Linked DNA regions of Struthio camelus. The protein of the gene in region 2 interacts with the protein of the main gene of each other region in a biochemical or structural test. Links are inferred from orthologs where the notes say so. Each region holds a gene or a part of one and is shown on either strand. Other genes may lie near its edges. The genes, in order: PTTG1, ANAPC11, UBE2C and UBE2S.

Region 1 (8,159 bases), on a different chromosome or scaffold from region 2:
ACCATGCTCCCATGACATTTGGGGGAGCTTCACAGGAGAAGGAGCCATGTTTACAAGTCTGTCAGAGGTACTTTCAAATATCATGAGGGGAACACCACTCAGTGTCAGATGGCTTAGTCGGTGCTCTTCAGGTACATCAAAACTCTCAAAGTCTGTTCACAGAAAACACTGTAGTTTACTAGCAGTGTACACCAACACTTACAGTAGCCTTGGAAGCAACAAGTCCTCCTAAGTTTAATTAGGACCAGGTCCAAAGCACCTCAATTTAATAGTCCATTTATGGGGTGCTTATTTGCAGTTACAATCAACTGTCCATAAAAGCCCATATACTAATATTTAATCAAGAGACAAGTAGACTGCAAAACAAAACTGCTAATATGACCCAGGAGCCATTAGTATGGTGACTGAAAAGCAGTTCAAGTCAACTACATCAAGCAACACATGTTTCAACAACACTGAAGTCTCCAGTATAACAGCTTTTATATACTTCCACATAAACTATTTCTAGAAACTAGAGGTTTGAGGGCATATAGGATTAAAAAAGCACTGCAAGTTGTTTGCATAGATTCTAAGAACAGCTTTAGAGATTTTAGATTTCTACTATACAACTACAGGAGTAGGATTCCTACTTCAGCAGGAGTCTCTCCAGTTACATATTGCCATCTGAAGTATACACTTAGGAAAAGTCTACACTTCAGCACTGCTTAAGACCTTCTGAGCGCTTGTCTTCTCGATGCCATTTAATAAGTTAAGAGACCATATCTTAGTATTTGAAACCAGCTTCCTGCCACCACAGTAGTGGCCTCAGAAGACTACGTGTCTTGAGTGCAGCTACTGCAGTTAGAAACATTCAAACAAGAATGAGGGGGTACTCCTAAGTAGTGAGCATCCTTATGTTTAAGGAAGGATGCCAGAAATGCAATGCCAGTTTGGTTGCCACAATAGCTTGGCCAAAGTCTTGAGACAAATCAAGATTCAAACAAGAGCCTGATTGTTCATTCTGATAACTCCATCAATAATTTCTTACCTAGAGGATCATAGGGAAACATATTTTCCATTTCTGGATAGGCTTCTTCAGCTACTGCATCACAGCTTTCTAATCCAGCAGTCTTTTCAGTAATCTTAAGGAAAGAGGCACATTATTCATCTGAGCTACTGTAATTCCTCCTTTTAGGACCTATAGTAGGGGCTTTTCTGTGATGTATAGATCTACAGACCAGAATGCCTGCAACATAGTCCTCAGTTATGCCTAAGTTCTAACACCTTCAGTGCAAATAAGCTGCAGAAGGGCAAATGCTTCAACTGAGTTAGTGTAATGATATACTATACACAGGGGCAACAGATCACCACACTAGAACATTTGGGTTCCCAGTATTAGCTCCTACTACTTAGGATGTCAGCAAAACAGGAAATCAGGCTATATCTTCTCCAGAGTCACTTCTCCGCCCTTGAATATTACTCAAGCTGTACCTACATAGATAAGTTGTGTTATTTTTCCTGCAGAAGTACTGCACTCACCTTCTTTGCAGTGCAAGGCTGATTCTTCTGTTTCAACTGCTCCTTCTTGCTTGTTGCTGCTAGAGTTCGGTTCACGTTTCCAAGCGCCTTTCTGACAGAGAGGGATGTGGCTGGAGATGTACTGATCTTTTTTTTTGGAAGTGGAGTATGGACTTGTGTTCTTTCAGATAAGACTTTTGCTGGGGGGGGGGGAAAAGTAAGTTTTGGCTCTATAACAAGCATAAAGTTTGCTTCACTATGTGCATATGTTGGAAAACTAGGTGTCATAAAAGCACTGTTCTCTGCTTATAACTTAAAAGCATAAGTGTTCTCTACCATGAAAGCACATAGTTATTTTCACTTTTATATTAACTGATATGCTAGATACAGGTATGCAGAATAAAACTGTACTAACATCCAAAACAGCAAACAGCAAATCCTTAATTTTGTGGTCTTTACTCCATCCTCTGATTAGTTTACTCAGTGCAGCATATACTCACAAGATGCTGAAGGCCGTCTTAACTGATTCTTAGTAGCACCAACTTCACCATTCTCTTTATCAATGAAAATTAGTGTTGCCATCTTCAAGCTGATGAGACCACTCTGGGAAGCCCATGAGTAGAAAGAAGTCAGTTTTTATTGTCTCTGCTACAATAGCACACTTTAACAAGCTACATTACAGTTGCCCCAGGCTGCTTCCTAGAGGAGCAGCCAAGACATACTTCTCTCCATTTGGGAATAATTTTCTTTATCAGTGCACACGATAGTCTCAAAATTCCCAGTGCAACTTGCATGAGTTCAGGGAAGCAGCAAGGTGTCACTGGTAATCCAGAGTACCTCCCTGCACAGCTAAGAAAAAGCTCACCAGATCTCACTTCCATTGCTTAGACAGACAGGCTATTCACCACTCAAGGAGGAAAAAAAGCCTCCAGAAAAAGCTGCCTTGAGGTAAAACTTGGAATTTAGAGCTTAAACACAAAGCCAAAGCAAAATTCACAGCCACAGACCTCAACGCCATCTTCTGGCCAGGCTCCAGGAGCCATCACCTGCTCACACCAAGAAGAGGCCTCAGATTTAGCCAAGCAAAACCTGCCTTCCCAGCCCAACAGCACTTACCTAGGGAGAGGCCCCCCTCAAGCGCTGCCAACAGACCTGTGCTACGGAGCAGAACAACAGCACCTACAGCAGAGAGAAAGTTGCGCGTTTCAGGCCATGCAAGGCCTCAGGAGGAGGGGGGGGGGGAAGCCGACCGCGGCGGCGGCGGCGGCCCACCACGACCCCTCTCACCTCTGAAGAGCGGCGCAACAGAGGGGTCCGTCCTGCCGGCGACTTTTAAACCCCCGCCGCACCTCCCATTGGCCCGTTAGACTAACGCTCAGGCTGCCGATTGGCTGCCGCTGGGCGCGCGCGGCGGGCAGGGCGGGCAGGGCGTGGCGCGGGCAGCCGCAGCGGCGGCGGCGGCGCGGCGTTGCTGTGGTGACTGCCTGGCCCCGCCCCAGCAGGCGCGAGTTCCGTTGGGGGCGGGGCCTGAGGCGGGGCGCGGGGCATTGTGGGGCGCGGCGGTGTGGCGGTGTGGCGCAGCGGAGCCGGTAAACAAGGGAGGCGGAGGCTGGCGGGGCGGTCAGGGCCGCTCGGGCTGCTCGAGTCGGGGCTGCCGCACCGAGCTCCCCGTGGCAGGTCGGGGGCGGAGGGGTCACCGTGCTGGGCAGGCTCCTTTCTCTGCGGGCGGCCGCTTTGGGCCTGGGGAGGTTCCCGGGCCCTCGCAGGGCGGTGGGCCCCGGCCCGGCCCCGGCGAGGTGCTGCTCGGTGCGCCTGGATGAACACATTTACTGATCTTTTGTTACAGAGAGAGATATAATGGCGTCTGGGACAGTAATTAACGCGACTCCTTCGGGAGGATCAAGTGATGTTAGCCTGGAGGAACCAAAGAAGATGACAAGGGAAGACTGGAGGAAAAAGAAGGAGTTGGAAGAACAGAGAAAACTGGGAAACGCGCCTGCGGAAGTGGATGAAGAAGGAAAGTAAGTTTTATTAAAGCTACGGTCATTCTAAAGTAATAGGGTTTAAAACTAGGTATTTTGCTTATTGCGATTACAAAATCGTGAGGGACAGCACAAAAGGTGAACGCGGAACTGAATTATTGTACTTCGTGAATTTACTTTTAACGTTCCAGCCTTCTTCAGATGTATAGATTTTTGTTTTTGCAAAAGAATAACGTATGTTCAGCGTTGGTCTGATCTGTTGGGATGCTGCTAAAAAGCCCTGCCCTGTGCAGATCTTTACAAGTGGTATTTTAAAAGAGAGCAAAAGGTAGTGCTGGGGAACTTAACTGTGCAGCTTATCAATTTCTTTCCTTCTCTCTGTGGTTTCTGCAAGGCTCTTCACCGTCTTATTGCACCTGTTATTGTCTGTGATGAGAAGGGATATTACTATTTTTGTTATAAGATAAGTCTTCTGTTATAAAGACAGAACATCAAAAAAAGTCTTTATTTATTATACAAACTTAGAAAGCATTGTAACAACTTGGGTGGTTATTTTACGATCAGCCCTAAAACGCTGAAGTTGAAGGTGAGAGTTATGCATTAGGTTAAGTTGCTATTCTTTTCCCCTGCCATGTATTTATTACGTGATATCTTTTACAGAGATATCAATCCTCACATTCCTCAGTACATATCTTCAGTGCCATGGTACATAGATCCTTCTAAAAGACCCACTCTAAAGCACCAGAGACCTCAGCCAGAGAAGCAGAAACAGTATAGCTCCTCTGGAGATTGGTACAAACGAGGAGTTCAAGAGGTATGCAAAATATTTTGGTTGTAAAGATAAGATTTGATTCTGTGAGAAAGGAAGAATAGAAACGTTGGTTCCTATAATCTTCTGTGTTTTCTGGTTACATGTTTTAAAGACGACAGGAGCCGGGAATTCTTCCTCAGCAGACGTTTCACAGTGTTTAGTGATAACTGAGATGTGTTATGGCTTTGTGGAGAGCATGAATACTTTGCTTGCATTGAAAAAATGAGGTAGTTATTAGGAATGCGTCTATGAATCTTGGTGGAAGCTTGTACAATGCTGTTTTTTGTTGTTTTTGTTTAGCATGCTGTAGCAACGAAATATCGTAAAGGAGCTTGTGAGAACTGTGGTGCATTGACACACAAAAAGAAAGACTGCATGGAGGTAAATTTGACCTTTGATGTTTTAATGTTTTTGAAAACAATGCAAATTCTTCTCTAGTGGAAAATAGCTGGTTATAAATAACAAGAACGTTACTAGTTTCTCAAATATTGAAGCGTTGCTTGAAAATTTCTAAAGTAACCTTTAGGTAGGGGGGAAAAAAAAACCATTCAGGATGTTGCCTATCAACTGTATATGAAAAGAGCTGCAATAATAGGTGAAAAGGTTTATCATTTAATTTTTTGCATTAATTCGTTTTTACTCAAGTGCTGCTGAGGCTAACCTTTTCGGTTGCATGTCAGTTAAGAACACTTTCCAGGAATTGTAATTTAATTCCTTTCTTAACTGTGGAAGATAGGGTTATGTGGGGCTGCAGTAAATTGATAGGTTTTAGACAGTTGCATTACTATAAAAATCTAGAAATGAACTACTTACTTTTACTTACGATTCGTTTCTAGTGCTGGATTAAATCAGCTTTAGAGCAGCTTAATTGATACCATATTTTTAAAGTGAATAATATACTTCAGTCTAATGAACTGATCCAACCATTTCTTTTTCTTTCAGAGACCCAGGAAAGTTGGAGCAAAATACACCGGCATGAACATTGCACCAGATGAACATGTGCAGCCTCAGCTGATGTTTGATTATGATGGAAAACGAGATCGTTGGAATGGTTATAACCCAGAAGAGCACATGAAGATTGTAGAGGAATATTCCAAAGTTGACTTGGTATGTAGGTGCTATAATTTACTGGGGAAAAATTCTGTGTTTGGCTGGGGATAAGGGGAGGCACGTGTGCTCTGTGCGCTCTGATACTAGATCTTGTGCTGTATTCATAATGAAAAACAGAGATGGAGTCTGTGTTTGATAACCAACTTAGACTGAGCTGGGAACTCAGATCAGAACTGGCAACTGAAAATGGGTCTGCACAATAAATGAGTTCTCTCTTCAAATTGTTTGTCTTTTACTAGGCCAGCCCTAGAATTCATTACCCAAAATGAAGATTGAATTACAGAAAGGAATTTATAGGCTGGCTATAATGATCAGAGCTAACATCTATATTCATTTCTTAAACTTCATTCGTGTTTTTGTTACTTGTGAGTCCCTTTTGTTACTATCATAGAGCAGTGGACTAACTGTAAATGTCTCTGTGCAGATCAGCACCTAACTGTTGCAGTAATTTTCTAGCTGTATGTACCAAATCCATGTGGATACTGTTAACTTCATATTAAAAAAGTAGTTCACCACCTTGGCTGGATGGTAGGCCTGTTCCAAAAGGCAGTTAGATACCTAAGTGCCTTTGTGGGCCTGATCTGAGGATTTGAGTTTTTCCCTATAGTGCACAGGAAAGCTAATGCTAGATGAAGGTATTCTGGATGTTAGTGATGTGATTTTTGTATATGTGTATTAATGTGTGATGAGAGAATATTAAGAAGACAGAGCCAGACTCTTCTCAGTGGCGTCCAGGGACAGGACAGGAGTCGCTGAGTTGAAACTGAAGGGCAAGAAATTCCATTTAAACATAAGAAAAAGCTTGCTTTCACTGTAAGAGTGATTGAACTTGAATGAGTTGCCCAGCGAGGTTGTGGAGTCTCCACCCTTGTTGATATTCAAAACCCAGCTGCACACGGTCCTGAGCAAACTGCTGTAGCCGACTCGGCTTTGAGCAGGGTGGTTGGACTAGAGGATCTCCAGAGGTCCTTTCCAGTCTCAGCCATTCTATGGTTCTGTGATGTCAAACATACAAAATTTCACTACGTGGCTGCTTCAGAGTCTCACTTTAGACTTCAGTATTTCCTGGATGAACCATAAATGCTTGCAGTATAAATCATGACCTACCTCAAGCATTGAAGTTCTTAACTAGATTCAGCATAAAAGGACACAATAATAAAATATGTTTGTTCTTAAACTCTATTGAAATGCTTTGAGCTTTTTCTTAATCTAAAAATTGATGGTTAGGGAGTATTTTTAGGAAGTACGTAGGGATAGTATAGCCGCGTAGTCTCTAATAAACTCTTTAACAGAATAATATGAAACAGCAAAATGGTTAGTATATACACATTTCCTTTCCTTGATCTGAAAAAATATAACATGGTAAATGTAAGAGTAGGGTAGGCAAGCTGGGCTGCTGTTTTTTGACAAGCACCCAGAGAATTCGCAGCCCACGTTTTGTAATAATTAATACTTGTTAAAACGATAGTGGTCGTAAGAGGTGCTTGTGATGAGTCTTATTACACACTTGGGATTGAAAGAAAGTATTAAAACAAGTGCATTTTAATGATATGCAGGCCAAACGTACGCTGAAAGCCCAGAAGCTTCAGGAGGAGTTAGCATCAGGAAAGCTGGAGCAAGTGGTAAGGAAACTAAACCCTAATTCATTTTTGTTTAGGCTGAATAAAGATAAAAAGGTCGCTTTTGCTCTCTGATGCTCTTACTCTGCAGACTGAGTTTCCTATTGCTTTCCGTGCCCTTCAGTAACATGACCTGCCTGAAGCATTGAAGTAATGCTTCAGTGCTTCGTAATGCATCCATACTCTGTGTTGTTTACGTGAATGCAAAATACCTTTTTTCAAATGAAAGTGCCTTTGTTTTTCCCCTCATAGGCAAGACTTTCCTGCTTCAGTTCTGGCAATTAGTATTTCTTGCTAAAATGAATGATATGGAATTGTGGGTCAGAAAAAAATAATTTCCCATGTAGTAATTTTGTTCACGCACTAAAATGAGAGTTTTAATGTAAAGATTGTTATGTCTGACTAATGTGGTTATGACCATTATGTGACTATGGGTTGCTTGATTAATGCTTCATATAAATAGGAATAGGAAGGCATTTTCTTTTCCTTAGAACCAAACTTGTATCTTCCTCAGTTATTGATTCACTCTTTGCAGTGTCTTTGGTTATTTGAAGGCTGAGGATATGCAAGCTTCTTGCTTGCAACTCCACAGAGTTTGCATCTTCCACTAACTTCTGCAAGCTCCTCTTGGATTATCTAGTCAAGGCTTCTGATAATCTTTAATATAAAATTCTAATTTAAGAGGTATTTGTGATAATTTTCTAGGTTTATAAAACGAGGGGGAGTAGAGATCATTACTGGTGAGAAGTATTTTGAGGGGTTTTCTTAATCAAAATATTATACTGTAAGAAAAAACACACTAACCAATAGAGTACGTACAATTGGGCCTCCATTTTCCATATGTTGTCACCTTGCATTTTGTCACTAGATGGCAGAGTAAACTTAATCTCCAACCAACACAAAATACATAGTAAGCCTGAACTTCTTTCCAGGTGGATAAGGTTCTTATTCTTTTTGCCACCATAGAGCAAGATTTTTAGCCTCCGTATATTTATTCCTTACAAAATAGAACTGGTAGAAGAAAAGTATATTTGAAACATAAAGAACCATTTCTGATAAACAGAGAAGCAAGACTGGTGCCTCTTCTCATAACTGAAGTCCTTGAAGACCAGCACTCTTGTTTCAGTCTTTACTTCCCCA
Region 2 (6,299 bases):
TACTTTTTGATCAGAGCTAAACTACAGCACTTTGACATGCTTAGATAAGACTATGGGCCCCCTACACCACACTTCCTGTTCCTCCAAGTGTTTTGTTTTTTTTTTTCCCCAACATTGCTATTTATTTATCACTAATTCCAGAGAAGACTGCTCTAAAGCACAGCACAGTTCCATGTCAATTTTTCTGGCTTCTGTCATACTGCTGCCTCAATTTTATCCCATGCCTACAGAGACCAGCAAGATTCAGATTACAATACACACGCACTTAACCTTGATTCCCTGTCAACAAATTAACCTTGCTGTGGCACAAAGACATCTGAGCCAGTTGGGAATGAAGTGCTCTTCATTCAGCTCTGCACTTTATGGACTTGTATACCATGAACAGCATCACTAATCTCTTCTCTGTTAGCATCAAATGTCATTATCTCACATATGTTTTTTACTTTTGTTTTTCATTTTTTCCAGCCTATTATCTCTGTTATTTTGTTATGCAGCTATTGTTCATACATTGCTATTTCAGCTATAAAAGGGTCCAGCCTACATGGGCCCTAGACAGTCTGGGGAAGCTGGAAAAGTGGCTATTTCTCAACGATGGGCAAGGAAAAGCTGTAGATAAAGTGTTTTGGAAAGTTAAATTAACTGCAGGAACAAGGCATTGCTCAGCTTTAGAGGGAGACTATTCAGTCCAATGATCCGAGAAGTGATCCCTTTCCTGCCAGCCCTGGGCCGTCAATGTTTCCCAGCACCAGATCCAGCAGGGTGCACCGTTCTGCAAGTACGAGCAGCACTTACCCTGGCATTGTAAGCATCCAGCTGTGCATCTAGTTCTTCTGCAGAGAGTTGCTGTTTGGAAGTTCTTCCAGCTCCTCTGCCTCTCCCTCTGCTCCCACCACGACTACCTCGCCTGTTGCCACCTCCACCACCAAATCCTCCTGTACCACCACGGTTTCTGGTCATGCCACCTCTGTTTACACTGTGATTTTTAAAAAGCAACCGTTACAGTGCATTCTCGTTAACCCAGACAGCCACTCAGAAGTTTGTAGAATGGAAGATGGATCCATGCTTCCTATACAGAGGGAGGCTATGCAAATTGGGAGGCTATCCCCATGCTGACCAGGCACAGCAACTCATGTGGAAGTACAGCATCTCACCTCTGTGCTGGTCTCCTCTGTGTGTCTATCTGTGACGTAACCAGCTGAATGTTCATGGGGCGCCCTAGAAGAAAAGAAGCCAGTAAGTCCATGCAGGGGGATATAGGGACCTGGACTCCTCCAGTTGTCAAGTGAAAAACACCACAGAAACAGCCAAGTAGACTCACCATCCAAGGGGACTCCATTGTACTGCTTCATAGCTTTCAGAGCATCTGCCTTTCTTTCAAAATGCACATCTGCTGTCCCTAGACTGCGGCCAGATCTGTCATAGTGCACTGCTGCCTTCTTCAAGGTCCCAAACTCTGCAAAGAGTTCCTGAGAAACAGAGGGAGAAGAGTGAGCACGCTTCAATCCATGCTGCTAAGGCAGAACGGCCAAGACAAAGCACTGGCCGTTTCCTAGATACACCAACTTTCAGCAAGTACAGGTGCTTTTCAGAACGTCACTGACAACTCAGAAGAAGAATCTCTGAAAGAGCAAACATAAGCCCAACAGAAGAACTTCAGGAAGCGGCTACACACAGCAAAAGCAAGTAAGACACTACTTGCATACTTGGGTGTGTGCATACAGCCAGTGGAGCAGGGTCAAGGGGTGTTGACCTGCCGCTTCTGCCAGGGAAGCTGCACATCTTTGTGCCGAGACTACATGTACAGGGCTGCTATTCAAAAATAATCCAGACCCTAAACCATTTCACAGAGGAAGAATGATCTTTATTTCTATGAATGCAGTGATTCACAAGGTGATCATAGTTTCTATGTGCTGGACTTCTCTTATAAAATCTTTGCTAGACCAGTTACAGTTTAAAAAAACCAATCCTGTCATCTTGGAGCTTAAGAACATATCCCAAAAACTGAGCTTAGGAGGAGTCCTCTACTGAAGTATGCCCTCTTGTTACTCACTGTCTTGAAGGGTGGAAACGAGCAGAGGCAGCAAGAGAGCCACAAATTTTGTTTTGCGCGGGTGCTACTTTTGGTAAATCAACTAGGGACATCTCATAGCTTTGTAAGTTTCTATTATAGCTAGTGCCTCGAAAGCTCAAAATCTACACCAGAATTGTCGGATGTCCAAAGGGAGACTGCCTGCCACCTTTCATGTTATCCGCTGCAACGCCTGAACATTATTCCAATATTTCCAGTATTTGAAAAGAGCAACACAGATATTCTTTTACTTCCTAAGCAAACAGCACTCCAGGCAAGATTGCAGGCCAGCTTCTACCTTGTATTCATTTAACTGACGTGCACGTTAACACAACACTCTGTACAAGCCATCTGGAATACGGAGCAGCACACACAAAGAGCTGCTCAACAACGTCTTAAGGAACAGCCTCTCTCACTGTGCTACAGAAAACCCTGGTTCTCCATGAGCAGCAGTGGTGGGTCGGGGTATGACACTATATATGTCTTCTCCAAGAGCTTGTTTTAGGTTCCTTCCAGTCACCCATTCCTGGCAATACAACTCCCGGGCTACCTTGTACCTCATTAATGACCCGATTAGCATAAAAACAAGGAAACTAGCCAGCACAGGAAGTGCTAAATTATGAGGCAGTAGTAACAAATAGGTACAAGCCTGTTAAGTCAGCTTTGCTGCTAAATAAAACACACGTGGAACTTCATCAGCACCTATAGTCCAAAACAACAGCGAGAAAGACATACCCATCTGCCACACACACACACACACCCCTACAAAAACTAGTTGAACTGAAGCAACTTCACAGACTCACGTTTTATACATGAGGGCCTGACTACAGTAAACAAGGAACTTATTTCAACCAAAGCTAACTTTAAATAGGAAAAAAGAAGTGGCCTTAAGTGCATTACCCAAACAAACGTCAACTCGGTGACCTGAAAAAAACACTCGCTCTCAATTCTCCAGACGTAGCCAGCTTAACTTACAAGGTAGCTGAAACGAACTAACAGATGAAAAAGCGTTTATTTTCTGGCAGGAGGCACAGGGACCAAAAGCCAACTTAAAGTGAAGTGTTTTGCAGTGTAACCTAACTAGCACAGCCCCCTAGTGGGGATGCACCTTACATTTGCAAACGTTTGTGGCTGTACAGTTTACTGCCCATACATTACAGCACCCTTATAGCTAGGTGGGTCCACCAATTTCAATCTCCGTTCTGATCAATTCAGCCATAAAGACAAATCACACCATATACCTGACTTAAAGCATCTGGAAGATTTTTAACCAAAGCAGAGCTGAAACTACGACATGGCAACTCAGCTAGAAAATTGAACTACTGTAAGAAATACAAGGTAATTATAGATATCACAACGTAAGGGGGAATGTCCCCCCCGACAAATAAGCCTTCTTAATTTCACTGATCGATGCTGACATAGGAATACTTTCACGCTTAATAGAACGTGGCTTTAGAACAAAGAAACTATGTAAACAAGTCCCATAAAAACAAAGCAAATTGATGTACGTATAGTATAGTTACTGAATTCACAGGGAAATGCAACTTGTGTTTACATAGTTTATACAAAGTTCTCAAGCCACAGATGGATTCAGGCAAACACCAGTATATTTTCCCACACAAACATTCTTGCTAATGCTAATAGCCGCAGATCAGAAGAGGCCAGCAGCTTCTTTGAATTGCAGTTACCTTCACATCCTCAGAACAACTGCACAAGAAATACTCATGGCACAAATACAACCACAAACCTAGAGTTAAAGGATTTGGAGATCTCCCCTCTGGGCCACAGAAAGCAGCGGGACCTCAAGAGCTACAGCATCCCCAGGAAGCGCCCGAAGCAGATGCTATGAATGAATCCCCCCGCCAATGCCGGCCGCGCGCACGACGGGGCCGCCGGCGCCGCTCACCTGGATGTCCGCGTCCGAGACGCCGAAGTCGAGATTGGAGACGAGGAGCTTCCCGCCGGTCTCCACGCCGGCGCCCGCCCCGAAGCCGCTGTCGAACAGGTCGTGCTGCCACTTCTCGGGCAGCTGCTTCGGCTGCAACGAGACCGCCACCTCGCTGACCGGGGCCGGGCCGGGGCTCCCGCCGCCCGCCACGCGCCCCGGGGCCGCCGGCGCGAACAAAGGGCCGCCGGGCAGCCCGCCGCCGCCGCCGCCCCCCGCCACTGCCGCCCCCCGCCCGGCCCGGCCCGGCCCGGCCCGCCGCCGCCGCTGCCCCGGCCCAGCCCCCCGCCCGGCCCGCCGCCCCCGGCCCCGGCCCCGCGCGCGGCTGCGCCGCCGCCGCCGCCCCGCCCCGCTCCGTACCCGGCTGTAGGGCGCGGGCCGGTTCCTGCCGCCGCCCCGGGCCATCACCGGCCGGTTCCGCACGGGGCCGCCGCCGCCCGCTCGCCCGGCTCCCACAGCGCCCCGGCCGGGCCCGCCGCCGCGGGTGGCGCCTCCCCGGCCCCGGCCGCCCCGACCGCCCCGGCCGGCGCCCCGCTGGCTCCGGTTGAGCTTAATGATATCGTCCAGGGACATGTCCATCTTGTCGGCCATGATGGCGGCTCCGCTCCGGGGCCTGCACTTCCGGCCGCGCTGCGCCCACGCCGGAAGCGGAGGGGGCGGGGCTGGCGGCGAAGGCGCGGCAAGCCGCGCGCGCTGCCGCGCGGGGCCTTATGGGGCGGCGGCGGCTCCGGCGATGCGGCCGGGCAGGGGGCGGGACTTCCGGCGGGGAGGGGCGGGACTTCCGGCGGGGCGGGGCGGGGCGAGGCGAGGCGGGCGGCGATGCGGGTGAAGATCCGCGGCTGGAACGGCGTCGCCTCCTGGCTCTGGGTGGCCAACGACGAGAACTGCGGCATCTGCCGCATGGCCTTCAACGGCTGCTGCCCCGACTGTGAGTACCGCCGCGCCGCGACGTGACGTGACATGCCGTGGCGTGGCGTGTCGAGGCGTGACGTGGCGTGGCGTGTCGAGGCGTGACGTGGCGTGGCGTGTCGCGCCGCGCCGTGACGTGCCTCGCCGGGGTGTGATGTGATATGTTGCGGTGTAACGTGACGTGGCATGCCGTGACGTGACGTTGCATGTCGTGACGTGGCGTGGCATGTCGCGGCATGACGGGACGCGCCGTGACGCGCCGCGGTGTCTGTCCTAGGCAAGGTGCCCGGCGACGACTGCCCGCTGGTGTGGGGTCAGTGCTCGCACTGCTTCCACATGCACTGCATCCTCAAGTGGCTCCACTCGCAGCAGGTGCAGCAGCACTGCCCCATGTGCCGCCAGGAGTGGAAGTTCCGCGAGTGACGCCGCGCCCGGGCCCGGCCGCCGCCGGCAGAGCCGCCCTGGGGCTCGGGGCCGGGGCTCGGGGCCGGGGCTCGGCCCTGGGGCGGCTGCCGCCCCGCTGCGTGGCGCTGCGGTGACGGCCGGGCCCCAAGCTGCGACTTCCCTACCTGCGCTGCTGCCCGTAAACTCGCTGCTGTGATCTGCTTGTTCCAGCGTCCCTGGCGCCGCTGGGCTCTGGAGGGGCTCAGACCGCGGGCAGAGCCGCCGGCCCCCACGGCGGGGCAGGCAGGGGACGCGGGGTGCAGCCTGCGCCAGCCTGGGACCCCCGGGCGGACCCGGCTCCCCACGGGCTGGACGCGCTCCGAGCCTCCCCCCGGCAAAGCGCAGCCCAGCCGTGTCGGCGGGCGGGAGCCCTGCCTGGGGCAGGTGCCAGGACGCCCCAGCGAGCGGGGCCACTAATGAGCGGGGCCAGGTCGAGCAGCTCCTTCCCCGCGGGCAATGCCACCCCGGGGAGGCGGGCTGCTCGGCTGCGGCGGGGGAGGCGCAGAGGAGGTGGCATGTCACCCCCCCCCCAACCTGCCTATAAAGGCAGCAGCAGCAGCCCTGGAGCTGCTGCAGTCCTGCTGGCACCATGCACGCTGTCCGCTGGCTGGGGCTGGCCCTGGCCCTGGCCCTGGCCCTGCTGTGCCGCCCCGCTGCGCCTTGGTACAAGCAGGCGGCCGGACCCAGCTACTACTTGGTGGGCAGAGCCTCGGGGCTGCTCTCCGGCATCCGCCACTCGCCCTACATCCACCGCTCCGACCCCAACGGTGCTGCCGAGCACGGCCCCCGCGTGCAGCTGCACGCTGCGGTGAGTACCGGCGCCGCCGCGCGGAGCTCCGGGGCACGGTGGGCGCTGCGGCGGGGCGGCTCCCCGGGTCCTCTGTGGGGCTCTGCAGCACGGTAAGTACCGGGACCTCCGTCAGGGTCCTGGAG
Region 3 (6,353 bases), on a different chromosome or scaffold from region 2:
GGCGGCCGGCCCGAGGGCCCGTGCCGCGGCGGGGGGCGGCCCGGCCGCCAGGGCAGCCACAGCCCCGAGCGGCCCCCGGCCGCCCCACGGCCCGAGGAGGAGATCGAGCAGATGAGGGCCATGCTGGCGGAGATGGAGAGCAGAGCCAACATCCCGCTGTGGACGGTGGAGGCCACGCAGCGGGGCCGGGCTGCGGGCAGCGCGGCTACCCGGGCCGGGGCGGCTCGGGGGCAGAGGCAGGCTGCGGGGCCGCGGCCGGGCACTGGGCACTGCTGCGCGGTCCTGTGATGCGCCCCGGGCGGGCGAGAGAGTGGCAGGGCTGGGACCCCCGTCCCGCAGCCTGGGGCGGCGCGGCCGCCGCGGAGCCGGCGATGCCCCGGGCACCGCGGAGGGTTATTAAAGACCCCGTCAGCCCTCGAGGTTTGTTGTCCCTCCTGATTCCCGCACGGGCAGAGGGGCCTGGGCCACGGCGCCCGTGGGAAGGGGCCACCAGGCATGCGCAGGGACAAGATGCCAGGCTGCAGCTTAACCCTCCGGGCCCCCAGCACAGAGTTATAAACGTGCATTTATTTATACATTAACCGTGGCTCGGACTGCAGAATTAATTTAAAAACAGCCTATGATACAGAAAGCCGCGGAGAGCGGCAGGACAGAGACAGAGCAGGAGAGCAGAGACCCAAGAACGAGAGACAGACACTGCCGGCGGGAAGGGGGGGAGCGCGGGGTCAAGTTTCCTGGCTCTTCGCCTGCTTGGCATACGTTTCCCGCAAATACTTCTTGAAGGCTGCGAGGAGAGGGAGAGGATGGTGCTGAGGGGCCCGGGAGAGCGGCCGGGCAGCCCCGCAACAGGAGCGCAGCGCGGCGCCGGGCAGCACCCGCGCAGCGGGGTCCGGGGCTGCGCGGCGCCTGGCCGCGGCAGGAGCGGGGATCCCGCCCCGGGACACTCACCAGCTTGGTTCTTCCAGAGCTCGGCCGCGTGCGTGTTCAGGGGGCTCTCGATGTTGGGCTCTGCGGACAGGGCACGGGGTCGGCGGTGGCCCCGACCCCAGCGGCCCGCCGTGCCCCGCCGCCGGCGGGCGCAGCTCTCGCCCAGCCCGGCCCCCCCCGGCAGCACAGCCCCGAACCCCGCGCCGGGCCCCACCTGCCAGCAGGCTCTGGATGGAGAGCAGGATGGTGCGGACGTCGTACAGGGCCGACCACTTGTCCTTGAGGATGTCGAGGCAGATGTTGCCCTGGGTGTCGACGTTGGGGTGGTAGCAGGGCGTGACGAAGCGCACGGTGGGCGCGTTGTAGGGGTACCCGCTGGGGAACTCCAGCGACAGCTTGTACCGCAGGTCCTCGTAGGCCTGGGGGCAGGAGTCAGGGAGGGGGCCGGCCGGGGTGGGGGGTCGGGGCCGCCCCGTCGGGGGTGGGGGGGGGCAGGCAGGGCCCGGGGGGGCCGGGGCCGCCCCTGTCGGGGGTGGGGGGGGGCAGGCAGGGCCCGGGGGGGGCCGGACCGCCCCGGCCCCGCGGGTGCCCCGGGCCGCTCACCGTGCCGGCCGCGCCGTCGATGGTCCCGATCCACTTGAAGAGGTTGTCGGACTCGGGGAAGGCGGAAATGCCCTTGTCACCGGACATCTGCGGGGACAGCGCCGTCAGGGGGGCTCGGAGCCAGCGGACCCCCCCCCGACCCCGGCGCGCCCCACTCACCATCAGCGACATCAGCTCCTGCTGCAGCCTGCGGGGGAAGCTCGTGTTACCGGGGCGGCCGCGCTCCCCCGAGCCGCCCCGGCCGCCCGGCGCCGCCTCACCTCTTGCCCACGGAGCCGCGGGCGGCCGTGGCCCCCGCCTCGGCCCCTTTGCGGGCGGCCGCGCTCGGCACGGCGGCGGGGTCCGCGTTCTGCGAGGCCATCGCGGCTCCCGCTCCGCCTCCTGCTCTTGGGCTCCGGCCGCGGCTGCTCGCGCCCTGCTGCGCCCGGCGCTGCCCCCGGCTCCGCTCCGCTCCCGGCCCGCTGCCCCTGGCCCGGCTCCGCTCGGCCCGCTGCCCCCGGCTTCGCTTCGCTCCGCCCCGGGCCCGGCTGCTCCCGGCCCGGCCCGGCTCGGCCTGGCCCGCTGTCCCCGCTCCGCTCCGGGCCCCGCTGTCCCCGCTCCGCTCCGCTGCCGGCCCCGCCGTCCCCGCTCCGCCGTCCCCGCTCGCCCCCGCCGCTCCCGCGCCCCCGTTTGAATGTTTCAAACCCGCGGCCCCTCCGCCAATCGGCGGCGCGCTCCCTTCGAGCCGACCAATCACCGCTCGCAAGGGATGCGGCTGCCTTGGAAACAGCGGCCGGCCGCCGATTGGTCGCACGGCGACGCCACACACGCTCCCCTATTGGCGGCTCACCCGTGACGTGACCTCCCAGCCCGGGGTGGGGGGGGGGGGTCCAGGCGGACCCCTTAAAGGGCCAGCACCCCCCCCCCCCAACCCCCCTACCCCTCGGGAAGGAGGCAGCGGAGGCGGGTGCGAAGCAGCTTTATTGCGAGGGCCGGTGCCGGGGTGGCGCCGGGCGGCGGCGGGGCCACTGGGCAGGGCAGGCCTCAGGGCTCGGGGGGCCCCTCCGGCGGCGGCGGCGGTAGCGGGTCCCCTCCGTTGCGAAGCGTCTCCATGTACTTCTGCATCTTCTCCGTCATCCAGGCCGGTGGGATGAAGGGCTTCAGCTCCTCCAGCTTCAGGTCAACGGAGTCCCTGCGGAGGGCAGAGGCCAGCGCTGAGCGGGGACCCCTGCGGCTCTTGCACGGGCAGGGTAGCCCCTGGTTCTGAGCCATTTTCACTAAAGGGGAGAAGGTTGCAGCACAAAAGACTTCTGGGCTTCTAGCCTCACCTGTAATCCTCACTGGCAGCCAAATCCCGAATATCCTCTTCAATGAGGAGATAAGCCTGCAGCACAAGGGGCAAAACGCTTCAGGTTTCCCATGCGAGAGCTTTGGACGCACCATGCTTCTGCTCAGAAATGAGATGTCTGCCTGGCACAGTGATGGAAGCTCATAACCCCCTTCCCGCTGGCCCTGTTAAACCCCACCAGCCTGCAGACCTGCTCCTACGAGGAGCTTTTGGTACCTCCTGGTTCTGCCCTACTCTCTCATATGTGCCCAAATCCCAGAGGAGCAGCAAAACACAATCTCCTTGGCTGAGGTGCCCCAAGCACCCAGAAACAACTGCCTCACCGAGCTCTGCCTGGCCTCCTGCACAAACTCACCTTCCCCACAACACACTGTTTTCGCTGCACGTGCCCTGGTTTACTGCTCACCTGCCCATTTCAATCCTGAATTGGGATTCTGTACAGTTCTCTCTCAGGCTGCGGCAGGCGCAAGCCTGAACGTACTCACCATCTTGCCCCCAGTGGCCCTCATGTGCTGCTGCTCTGCCAGCCAGTGCTTATCTTGCGGATCGGCTGCATACTGCAATAAAGCAGCAAGGACCTAGCTGAACACAGGCAACAGACCTTTTGCTCTGACCACCCCTGTATTTGGGCACTGAACCCCATTCTAGTGCTCCACTGCAATTGCACGACCCCCCAAATGCTGCCGATCTGTATCTTCAGGGAGGGAACGCTCAGCTCTGCCTGCTTTTACTTCAGAGTAAAACCCTGGCTCCAGGCAAAAACACCACTTCAGAGGCTGCACTAGGCTGTTAGCTTATGTTTCAGTGTGCTAGCCAGACTCTAGATGTTCTAAGACAACAAACAAGGGTGTGGGAGAGGAAGACAACAAGTGAGCCAAAGCATACATTCCTGATTCCCATCACAAACTGTTTCTGAGCAAACCCCAAAGGAGGAAGCATCCTGCTGTGGTATCTGACCTTAAAGAGGTGGGGATGTTTGATGTAGAGTCGCCCTCTTGTTCCTCCCATCCCGAGAGCTCTGAAACAGGAACACGAGGCGGGTGTTAAACCGGTGCAGAAGGGGCACTGAGCGGTACAGGGACACTTACTCTCCTCTCCTCTCCTCCCCAAGCCCGTGCCCTTCCTACTGCTTCCAAGGCAGAGAGGTGATGGGAGGAGTCTTAAGGGCTCCTGCCTGGGAGACACCACCCTCCATCAACAGGGCCATTCCTTACTTGTTTGCTCGAGATCCCAGCACAAAGGTTGTGGTTTCAGTCAGTCGGGATGGATCCCACTACAGAGCAATTGGAAAAGGGGCAACATTAGAAATGAAGCTGGTGCCAACCAATGCTCCATGAGCCTCAGATCTCTGATGGGGGCCTCAGAACCGCCCCCTGAGCTGGGAGGGAGGCAGCTAGCCACAAACCTCTGGATTTCCACAGAGGAGGGAAATTATGTCACCCTGGGCTGCTCTAAGCAGTTTCCTCGGCACATAACACTCGTGGGATCCTCCTGGCTACTACTGCTTGCCCTAAGTCTCCTGAAAAGCTGGTACCACACCACAGAACTATAGGCTACAGTGACTGGAGGAGACGAGCATAGGCTTCCAGGCACTTCACTCCTCTTCTTGCTTCTTTCTTTGCAACACAGAGGCCCATCAGGGCAGAGCACAGCTTAGAACTGTCCTCCGGTCCCACAGCAGGTGGGGCTCTGCTGACGGAAGCAAAGAGGAGGAGAGGGTGAGCCCAGCAGTGTTGGCCAACCGATACCTTTGGTCCATCCCTTCTCACGGGCTCAGAGACTTTGAGCTTCCACCTGAGGGGAAGGAAAATGAAATAAGAACGGATCCCAGAGGCACCAACTCACAGAACACCGCAAGCACCTAGCAGCAGGGAGCTGAGCTCCACCCCCTCCCAGCTCCATTTGCATTCACACCTTCTATTTCTCTCCAGTGCCCAGCTCTGGATCCTCATCCGTGCTGCACATTCTCTTCTCCCCAGCTGCCAACATCCCACCTCTACCTGTGTCATATACTGCTCACCCTGAATAGTCCATCTGGACCCTTCTGCCCCTTTGGGCCTTGCTTTCCAGAGGGTCTTCTACACTCCCTGCTTCATTCCCCACCCTCTCCAAGCGCAGGCTCTAAGTCAGAACCCATACTCACGCAGCCATGCCCGAGACCCCACGATCATTTGCCAGGCTCTGTCCTGGAGGCCGACCCTTTCTCTGCAAGAAAGATATCCTTGAGCTACTCATTTGTGTAGGCTGAGGGTACTCTTTCGGTTATCCTCTGCTGGGAAAATTGCTCTTTTTACCACGAGCAAAGTGCTGGCTAGCCCTAGAGTAAGGACCTCTAAGGCATTACAAAAGCTGCATCTGCATGCACTTATTTTCTGGGAAGGATGAGGAAGAGGCTTCCCATAACATAAAAGCATTTTTGTGGAAAACCCTACCTTTTTGGGAACAGGGCTTCCTCGCCGATTCAACTCCTCATCCATCTGTCTGGCACGCTGGCAAAGGAACGGCAGGAAGTGAACAGCAGCCCTTCTCCCTGTCTAGTCAGAACCCCCACCCACCCTGTCAGCTACTCTCTTATCTGCCGCACTTGGGGCACAGAGCACAAGTGCACAGGGAACGCTGAAGCCAACCCATCTCGGTATGAAGCACGTAGTTGCAATAAGCAACAGCGCATGGGACTTTTGTTGCTCTGTACCCCCTCCCTCCTAGCCCAACATCTCCCAGTTCTACCCCCTCATTAGAGCAACTGATGGACAACCAGATATCAGGGAGAGATCTATCCTGCAGCTTTTAAAGGACAACACTGTACCCCCCACTTACATATTGATTCTGTAATTCAACAGATAAGGAACAGGCAGAAAACAAAGCAACTCAAAACCCTCCTCTTATTTCTTCCAGCTCTTAAAGTCATTTAAGACTACAGGAACAATAACAACTTTTACCTTTGGTACCGCCTGCTCATGGGGCAACCTTGGGATCACCTTTTTGCCATCAGAGAAAAGCAGCTTGGCCTGTAAGAAGAGAAAGGATTATCTGATTCTGGGTCCAGAGAGGGACTGCCAGCTACCCCTGCCTTTCCCTATGAAAGGGGCTCATGTGTGCAAAGACACTCGCGCTGGAGAGAGAGCCCCAGGCCAGGTAAACTTTAAAGGCCATAGCTAATGACTCAGATGCCCAGTAGACCACAAGGGCTGGTCACTGCAGACCCCAGAGATTCAAGTGTATCTGGCCAGAAGCCCTATATCAGCTCTGGTTGCAGAGTGATTCTAAAGCGCAGTGCTGTTCACAGACAGTGAGATGCAAGAGCACGATCAAGTCAGGATGACCGGCACAAAAGTAAGATCTGAAAGAAGAAGATCACAGTCTTGTTGGAGGAACCTTCAACGGGTACCAGGGAACTAGAGTCACTGTGAAAGCTCCCTGCTGTCAGCTGTGTGCAACAAGCATGGACAGAGCATCAGTGGGAAGCAGCAGTTCATTGAGAGCTACCCAACCCCGA
Region 4 (7,899 bases), on a different chromosome or scaffold from region 2:
CCTGTCACCCCCAAACCTCCCAGTCTGCCCCAGGACACCCCTAATATCACCCCAGTTCCCCCAGTTTGCCCCAGGACATCCCTAATGTCACCCCCAAGTCCCCCAGTCTGCCCCAGGACATCCCTGTCACCCCCAAACCTCCCAGTCTGCCCCAGGACACCCCTAACGTCACTCCCATGTCCCCCAGTCTGCCCCGGGACACCCCCAATGTCACCCCCAAATCTCCCAGTCTGCCCCAGGACACCCCTAATGTCACCCCCAAGTCCGCATTTGCCCCGGGACTCCCCTAACATCACCCCCATGTCCCCCAACCCCAGGTGGGGGCAGCTGGGGGGGATGCAAGGCCCAGGGCAGGGCACCCTTGGGGGGGGGGGGTTGGCAGGGTGCCCCAGCTCCCTGGGCTCAGTGGGGCACCCCAGGGCCCAGCCTGACCACGTGGGGCAGCCCCCCCCCCCCACTCTTTCCCCCCCCACCAGTGTGTGCGCGTCCCCCCCCAGCCGCGGCGGGCCCCCCGCTCACCAGCAGCACGTGCCGGATGCCCAGCTCGGCCTTCCAGTCGCGCTTGAGGACGTTGACGCAGATCTCGCCGCTGGGGCCCACGTTGGGGTGGAAGATCTTGGTGAGGAAATAGCCCTTGGGGGGAGCCGCCGGGAACTCCTTGCCCAGCACCAGCTTCATGCGGAAAACGCCCCCCGCGTAGGGGGTGCCTTCTGGGGGGGGGGGGGAGAGAGGGGAAAGGGGGTGAGAGCCGGTCCGGAGCCCCCCGCGCCGTGCGCTCCCCTCCCGCTCGGCTTGGTCGGGGGGGGGGGTCCCGTCCGCATGGCGGGGGGGGACACTGTCCCCAGGACAGAGGTTGCTGTGGGGACAGGGACCCCCGCCAGCCCCACGCTGGGGGGAAGGGGGGGGGGAACCCCGGGCCTCCCCCCTCCCCGTCTCACCGGGGCCTTCGATGGTGACCTGCACGTCGGTGATGTCCTCCTCGTTGGGGAAGAGCTTGATGCCGTCGGGCGGGTCGGACGTCAGCATCGACACCTCCTTGTAGACCAGCCGCAGGATGTGGGGCGGCAGGTTCTCCACGTTGGAGTTCTGGGAAGGGGGGGGGGGGGGGAAGAGGCGTCAGAGACCCCCCCGGCACGGACCGATCTCTGCAAAAGTCGGAGGGACCCCCAGGGCCAAGCTGCCTCCCGAGCTGAGACTGGCCAACTCGCTCCACGCCAGAAATCCCAGAGGCTCTTCGGCCGCCTCGTGCTCCACCCCTCCGGACGCGGGGTATTTTTTTTTGGGGGGGGGGGGGGGGGGGGGAGGCAGCCGCCTAGGGAACGAATCTCCGAGCGCGTCCCATGCGCCAGCCCCGGCCGGCAAAAGTTTGGGCAGCGGGTGCTGCCGGGGGCATCGTTAGCAGCCCCCCCCCCCCCCCAAAACACCTAGAAACGGCCCCGGATTCGAGACGAAACGTCCGAGAAGGCCAACAAGGCCTCGGCGCGCCGGGGAAGAGACCAGGAGCGCCGAGAACGGAGCCGGTCTCCCCGAAGGCCAAAAACATCCCCCCCCCCCCCACCTCCGCTTTCCGCCCCGAGGCCCCCAAGAGCCACCCGGCCCTCAGCACCCCCCGAAGACGCGCAGGGAAGGAGCTGCCGAAAGACGATTCGGGCAGCGACGCCAACTTATCCCCCCACCGTGCTGCCAAATCGTCTCCCCCCCCCCCCCCACCAGCTGGTAGCGAGCCCCCCCCTCCCCGCAGCCCCCAGCGCAGCCGCCGCGGCCCCTTTTCCCGGACTTATTGTTGATTTAGCGGACTCTCCCCGAGGCCTAGGCGGCCGCTCGGCCGCTCTCGCCCTGCGTTTGGACGCCTTTTCGCCCGACCCGCTGCGCAGCGGGTTGGAGGGGACGGCGGCGGCGGGGGGGGGGGACGGAGGTGGCGGTGGGGGGGGGACGGACGGACGTGCTTTTACTTGGCGGCGGGAGCAAATATGTTTGTCAGGAGCGAAGGCCTCGCGCGAGGGCAGGTCGCTTCCGGCACCTCCTTCCCCCCGGCCCCGGCCTGCCAAACCGGGAGCGAGAGCAGGCCCCGACCGGGGAGGGCTTCGGACCCCCCCAGACCAGCCGGAAAAGGGGGAAGCGACGGAGGTTTGGCCGCTCCCCACCTGCGGAGGAGCCTCATGCGACCCCCCCCTTTTTATTTATTTATTTCCCCCCCCCAAAAAAAAAAAAGCCGCTATTTTCCCTCGTCCGGCCCAAGGGAGCAACTCGGCGCGCTCAAACTTTCCCGTCCCGCAGCGGGACGGCGGCGCCTGGAGGTTTGGCGCTGCCCCGCGGCCGAGGGCTCCCCCAGACCAGTCCCTGGGGCACCTGCTGGGGGGGGGGGGGCAGAATTGGGGTGAGTGGGGGGGGGGGTGCCAGACCCTAAAGCCGCTCCGGTTTCACACTCACCTGCCAGGCACCTCGAGCCTCCTGCAAGGGAAGGAAAAAGGGATGAAACGACCCATTGCTGCACCACAGCTCGTGGGGGGGGGGGGACACCCCCTGGGGCTGCATTTAACCCCCCCCCTCAAATTAAACAGGCCCAAAGGTAGCAAGTTTCAGGCTGTTGCCCCTCTCGGGGCTGGTTTCAGCCCCCTCCTGGCTGGGCCCGACAGACCCACGTTTGGGGGGGGGGGAGAAGGGGCCATGTCCCCCCCCCCTCCCCCAGTCAGCTTGAGGGGAAACAGGCCTGGGGGGGAAGGGGGAGGCAGTTGGGGGGGGGTGGTGCCCCTCTTGCCCCCAAACCCTGCCCAGCTCAAAGTGTCCCCCCCCCCCCAAAAAAAAAAGTGCACGCAAGGGGCCCAGGCGTCCGGGGAGCACTCACCATGGCGCTAGGCCCGGTGGAGGCCGCTCAGGGCCCCCCCCCCTGCCCCGGGGGGGCCTCGCCGGGTGGCCGGGGGGGTGGGGAGAGGCAGGGTCCGCAGCAGGGCCCCCCTCTCCCCACCGGAGAGCGGCAGGTGCCCGCCGATCCGCGGCGCCGCCGCCGCCGCCCGCTCCCGCCGCTCCGGCCGCCGCCGCCCACCCGTCGCACTGAGCGCGGCGCGTGCTCTGCGCCGCCCTTTATAGCCTCTTGGCCCCGCCGGACCCGCCCCCTCCCGCACCCCGCGCCAATCAGCGCCGGCGGAGCGCGGCCGCTCGGTCCCGCCCCTTCGCCGCGGTTGGGGGTGGAGCTGGGCTACCGGTGTCAAGGGCGGGCGCGGGCCAATGGGAGAAGAGGGAGGAGGGGCGGGCGCTGGGCGCTGATTGGTGGGTTCGGAATACGAACGTCGCGAGGCGGAAGGGGCGGGGCGGGAAGCGGCGGTTGTTGACGCCGTAACGGTCGGCGGGCAGGGGCGGGGCGGGAGCGTTTGAAACGGCCGATTGGCAGGCGGCTCCGCCAATGGGAGGCGGGAGAGGCCGCGCGGGGCGGTGGGAGGGGAGGCGGGAGGGAGGGAAGGGCTTGACCGGCGGGGCGGGACTTCCTCCGCTGGCGGGAGGGGGCGGTTGCGTCACTGAGCGGCAGCCGGTGCAGCCAATCAGCGAGGAAGGCGTGAGGAACGGCCTCATTCCTATTAATGTATGTAAATAAGGGCTGTCGCGGGGGCTCATGGGAAAGCTTCGTCCGGGGGGGGGATGTCCTCCCCCAACGCACCGCAGCCCCATGGGACCCCCCTCAATCTGGGACCCCCCCCCAATCTGGGACCCCCAAACTGGGACCCCCCAAACCAGCCCCCCCAGTCCCATGGGACCCCCAAACTGGGACCGCTAAACCAGCCCCCCCCTCATGGGACCCCCCCCCAATCTGGGACCCCCCCCAATCAGCCCCTCCCATGAGACCCCCCCCAAACTGGGACCCCCCAAGCCAGCCCCCCCCAGTCCCATGGGACCCCCAAACTGGGACCCCCCCAAACCAGCCCCCCCAGTCCCATGGGACCCCCAAACTGGGACTGCTAAACCAGCCCCCCCTCATGGGACCCCCCCAATCTAGGACCCCCCCAATCAGCCCCTCCCATGAGACCCCCCCAAACTGGGACCCCCCAAGCCAACCCCCCCCAGTCCCATGGGACCCCCAAACTGGGACCCCCCCAAACCAGCCCCCCCAGTCCCATGGGACCCCCAAACTGGGACCCCCCTAAACCACCTCCCCATGGGACCCCCCCAAATTGGGACCCCCCCAAACCAGCCCCCTCAAACTGGGACACCCCAAACTGGGGCCCCCAAACCACCCCCCCTTATGGGACCCCCCCAAACTGGGACCCCCAAACCACCCCCCTATGGGACCCCCCCAATATGGGACCCCCCCAATCAGCCCCTCCCATGAGACCCCCCCAAACTGGGACCCCCCAAGCCAGGCCCCCCAGTCCCATGGGACCCCCAAACTGGGACCCCCCTAAACCACCTCCCCATGGGACCCCCCCAAATTGGGACCCCCCCAAACCAGCCCCCTCAAACTGGGACACCCCAAACTGGGACCCCCAAACCACCCCCCCTTATGGGACCCCCCAAACTGGGACCCCCAAACCAGCCCCCATGGGACCCTCCCCAATCTGGGACCCCCCCAAACCAGCCCCCCCAGTCCCAGGGACCCCCGAAACTGGGCCCCCCCAAACCACCCCCCACGGCCCCCCCCCAATCTGAATCCAGCCGAGTCCCCGGCCAGGAAACGTCTGTTTATTCCCCAAAATCCCTCCCGCCCTCGGGGCGCCCCGGCCCCCCCCCATCAGGCCACCAGGTTTTTTGCTTAAAATCGGGCTTAAAAACACCCTCGAGCTGGGGGGGGGGGGGCTCCACACGCGTGTGCGCGAGAGGGACACGCGTGTGCACACGTGTCACGTCCCCCCGCCGCGTGCAAACACGTGTCGCGGGGGGGGAGAACACGCACACGCGTGTGCTGCCGCCCCCGCCCGGGCCCCGTCGTGTCCCCCCTGTCCGGGGGGGGGGGACGCTAAGGCACATGGGCCCCAGGGAGGGACACGTGGGGCGCCGGGGGGGGGAACATGTGACACCCCCCCCATGCGTGTGCAATGCCACGGACATGCGCCGGCACGCGTGTGCGCCCGCGGCACACGCAGCCCCCCCCCGGCGACGGCTCCGCTTTTGGGGCCCCCCCTTTTCTATGGCTTCGATTCGGTGGGGACGGGGCGGCCCCGGAGGTCACGGGGGGGGCACACGCGTGTGCGAGCGCCCCGTGGCTGCTCCCGCGTGGGACACGTGTGCACACGCGTGTGCCGGGGCCCCCGGGGGGGGGTAGCCCTTGGTTCGGCCGGGGGGGGGGGCTGAGACCTGACAAACTCACTGGGACAGATATGTACAAGGGGAGGGGCCCCCCGAACGCCGGCGATGACATCATCGAAGCACGGCTGTGATGTCACGGGGGAGGAGGCTGTGACATCACTGGGAAAGGGGGAGTTAAAAAGGGGTGTGCTCTCTCCGGTGACATCAGCGAAGAGAGGTGACATCATCAAAAAGGGCTCCGCCCACCCCCACGGGAGGCGGAGTCTTGGCAGTGACATCATGGTGAGGCGGGCGCCTCCGCCCTGTGACATCATCACCGGGGGGAGGGGAACCCCCGCGGCTGTGACGTCACCGACGTCAGCAACGCCCGCGGCCGCGCCGGGCGTCATCGGTCGGCGACGGCGCCGCCCCGACCGTGACGTCATCGGGGGGCGACGGGAGTCCGCAGTGCTGACATCATCGGGAGTCGCGGCCCCCGCGGGCTTGACATCATCGAGAAGCGGCGAAGGCCGGGGGAGGCGCCGGGCGCCCCGGGCGCCTCTGACATCATCGCGAGCCCGGGGGAAGGCCGCGGGCTGCTGTGACATCATCGGACGGCAGGTCCGACGCTGTGACATCACGGGACGGCGAGTCCGACGCTGTGACGTCGTCGGGCGGCGAGTCGAACAGGGCGACGGCGCCAGCTGCTGCCGCCTCCGGGGCTGTGACGTCACCAGCCGCAGAGGCCGAGGCTGACGTCATCACCGCCAAGCCCGCGGCCGCGACGTCGTCGGCCACCGAGCACCAGGCTGTGACGTCATCACCCGCCGAGCCCGAGGCTGTGATGTCATCAGCCGCTGAGCCCGAGGCTGTGACACCGCTGGCCACCGAGTGCAGAGGTGACACCGTCAGCCCCAGGCTGTGACGTCGTGCGCTGCAGAGCTGAGTGCTGTGACGTCATCAGCTGCTGAACCCCAGGCTGCGACGTCATCAGCCGCCCAGGGCAGAGGTGACACCGTCATTCGCCGAGCCCCGGGCTGTGACGTCACCAGCTGCCGAGCTGGATGCTATGACATCATCAGCCGCCGAGCCCCGGGCTGTGACGTCACCAGCTGCCGAGCTGGGTGCTATGACATCATCAGCCGCCGAGCCCCGGGCTGTGATGTCATTAGCTGGCCGAGTCCAGAGCTGCACCGCGCCGTGCCGAGCCGTGTTGTGCCGTGTCGAGCCGTGTTGTGCCGTGTCGAGCCGTGTCGTGCTGCACCAAGCCGTGTCGTGCTGCACCGAACCATGTCAAGCCGTGTTGTGCCGTGCCGAGCCGTGTTGTGCCGTGTTGTGCCGTGCCGAGCCGTGTCGTGCTGCACCGCGCCGTGCCGAGCCGTGTTGTGCCGTGTCGAGCCGTGTTGTGCCGTGTCGAGCCGTGTCGTGCTGCACCGCGCCGTGCCGAGCCGTGTTGTGCCATGTCAAGCCGTGTTGTGCCGTGTCGAGCCGTGTCGTGCTGCACCGCGCCGTGCCGAGCCGTGTTGTGCCGTGTCGAGCCGTGTCGTGCTGCACCGCGCCGTGTCGTGCTGCACCGCGCCGTGCCGAGCCGTGTTGTGCCGTGTCGAGCCGTGTTGTGCCGTGCCGAGCCGTGTCGTGCTGCACCGCGCCGCGTTGCGCCGCACCGAGCCGCGCCGTGTCGTGCCGTGCGGTGCCGTGCGGTGCCGTGTTGCACGGTGCCCAGCCGTGTCGCACCCTGCCGTGTCGCACAGTCCTGTGTTGCGCCGTGCGGTGCTGTGCAGCGCCGTGGTGCACAGTCCTGAGCCGTGTCGCGCGGTGCCGTGTTGCACCAAGCGGTGTCGCACCACGCGGTGCCGTGTTGCACGATGCTGTGTTGCACAGTGCCATGTCGCGCGGTGCCATGTTGCACGGTGCCGTGTTGCACTGAGCCATGTCGCGCGGTGCCATGTCGCGCGGTGCCATGTTGCACGGTGCCGTGTTGCACTGAGCCATGTCCCGCGGTGCCGTGTCGCGCGGGTGCCGTGTTGCACTGAGCCATGTCGCGTGGTGCCATGTCGCGCGGTGCCATGTTGCACGGTGCCGTGTTGCACTGAGCCATGTCGCGTGGTGCCATGTTGCACGGTGCCGTGTCGCACGGTGCCGTGTTGCACTGAGCCATGTCGCGCGGTGCCATGTCGCGCGGTGCCATGTTGCACGGTGCCGTGTTGCACTGAGCCATGTCGCGTGGGTGCCATGTTGCACGGTGCCGTGTCGCACGGTGCCGTGTTGCACTGAGCCATGTCGCGTGGTGCCATGTTGCACGGTGCCATGTCGCACGGTGCCGTGTTGCACTGAGCCATGTTGCATGGTGCCATGTTGCACGGTGCCATGTTGCACGGTGCCGTGTTGCACTGAGCCATGTCGCGTGGTGCCATGTTGCACTGAGCCATGTCGCACGGTGCCGTGTTGCACGGTGCCATGTTGCACGGTGCCGTGTCACGCGGTGCCGTGTTGCGCGGTGCCGTGTCGCGTGGTGCCATGTCGCGTGGTGCCGTGTCGCACGGTGCCCTGTTGCACGGTGCCGTGTCGCGTGGTGCCGTGTTGCACTGAGCCGTGTCACGCGGTGCCGTGTCCCGCGGTGCCGTGTTGCACTGAGCCATGTTGCACGGTGCCATGTTGCACGGTGCCATGTTGCACGGTGCCGTG

The links.
Region 1: of the proteins of ANAPC11 (region 2) and PTTG1, one has a biochemical effect on the other in vitro, tested with the Homo sapiens proteins (3 studies listed by BioGRID). The link is inferred for Struthio camelus from reciprocal best matches to the Homo sapiens genes ANAPC11 and PTTG1.
Region 3: the proteins of ANAPC11 (region 2) and UBE2C form a complex in vitro, tested with the Homo sapiens proteins (66 studies listed by BioGRID). The link is inferred for Struthio camelus from reciprocal best matches to the Homo sapiens genes ANAPC11 and UBE2C.
Region 4: the proteins of ANAPC11 (region 2) and UBE2S form a complex in vitro, tested with the Homo sapiens proteins (31 studies listed by BioGRID). The link is inferred for Struthio camelus from reciprocal best matches to the Homo sapiens genes ANAPC11 and UBE2S.

Annotation. Positions count from the first base shown.
Region 1 is NC_090954.1:14,386,858-14,395,016, reverse strand, and holds the start of PTTG1 (securin), read right to left. Parts: upstream 3,004-8,159; 5' UTR 2,785-3,003; intron 2,677-2,784; 5' UTR 2,614-2,676; intron 2,101-2,613; 5' UTR 2,080-2,100; coding exon 1,998-2,079; intron 1,698-1,997; coding exon 1,519-1,697; intron 1,122-1,518; coding exon 1,028-1,121; intron 153-1,027; coding exon 3-152; intron 1-2. Other genes in the region: pre-mRNA-splicing factor SLU7, read left to right, coding at 3,355-3,518, 4,140-4,293, 4,591-4,671, 5,233-5,397, 6,957-7,022. UniProt on the Homo sapiens protein: Regulatory protein, which plays a central role in chromosome stability, in the p53/TP53 pathway, and DNA repair. Probably acts by blocking the action of key proteins.
Region 2 is NC_090960.1:404,367-410,665, reverse strand, and holds ANAPC11 (anaphase-promoting complex subunit 11), read left to right. Parts: upstream 1-4,792; 5' UTR 4,793-4,832; coding exon 4,833-4,941; intron 4,942-5,199; coding exon 5,200-5,345; 3' UTR 5,346-5,350; exon of another isoform or gene 5,351-5,437; intron 5,438-5,467; 3' UTR 5,468-5,605; downstream 5,606-6,299. Other genes in the region: ALYREF (THO complex subunit 4), read right to left, coding at 793-973, 1,152-1,215, 1,319-1,466, 3,975-4,106, 4,374-4,604; NPB (neuropeptide B), read left to right, coding at 5,956-6,174. UniProt on the Homo sapiens protein: Together with the cullin protein ANAPC2, constitutes the catalytic component of the anaphase promoting complex/cyclosome (APC/C), a cell cycle-regulated E3 ubiquitin ligase that controls progression through mitosis and the G1 phase of the cell cycle.
Region 3 is NC_090959.1:19,299,348-19,305,700, reverse strand, and holds UBE2C (ubiquitin-conjugating enzyme E2 C), read right to left. Parts: upstream 2,170-6,353; 5' UTR 1,892-2,169; coding exon 1,791-1,891; intron 1,718-1,790; coding exon 1,690-1,717; intron 1,618-1,689; coding exon 1,531-1,617; intron 1,347-1,530; coding exon 1,142-1,346; intron 1,009-1,141; coding exon 949-1,008; intron 785-948; coding exon 726-784; 3' UTR 548-725; downstream 1-547. Other genes in the region: regulator of G-protein signaling 9-binding protein-like, read left to right, coding at 1-288; DNTTIP1 (deoxynucleotidyltransferase terminal-interacting protein 1), read right to left, coding at 2,554-2,701, 2,838-2,893, 3,343-3,414, 3,815-3,875, 4,072-4,130, 4,606-4,651, 5,001-5,062, 5,290-5,346 and 1 more. UniProt on the Homo sapiens protein: Accepts ubiquitin from the E1 complex and catalyzes its covalent attachment to other proteins. In vitro catalyzes 'Lys-11'- and 'Lys-48'-linked polyubiquitination.
Region 4 is NW_027182594.1:68,570-76,468, forward strand, and holds the start of UBE2S (ubiquitin-conjugating enzyme E2 S), read right to left. Parts: upstream 3,056-7,899; 5' UTR 2,849-3,055; coding exon 2,846-2,848; intron 2,452-2,845; coding exon 2,431-2,451; intron 1,087-2,430; coding exon 939-1,086; intron 711-938; coding exon 520-710; intron 1-519. UniProt on the Homo sapiens protein: Accepts ubiquitin from the E1 complex and catalyzes its covalent attachment to other proteins. Catalyzes 'Lys-11'-linked polyubiquitination.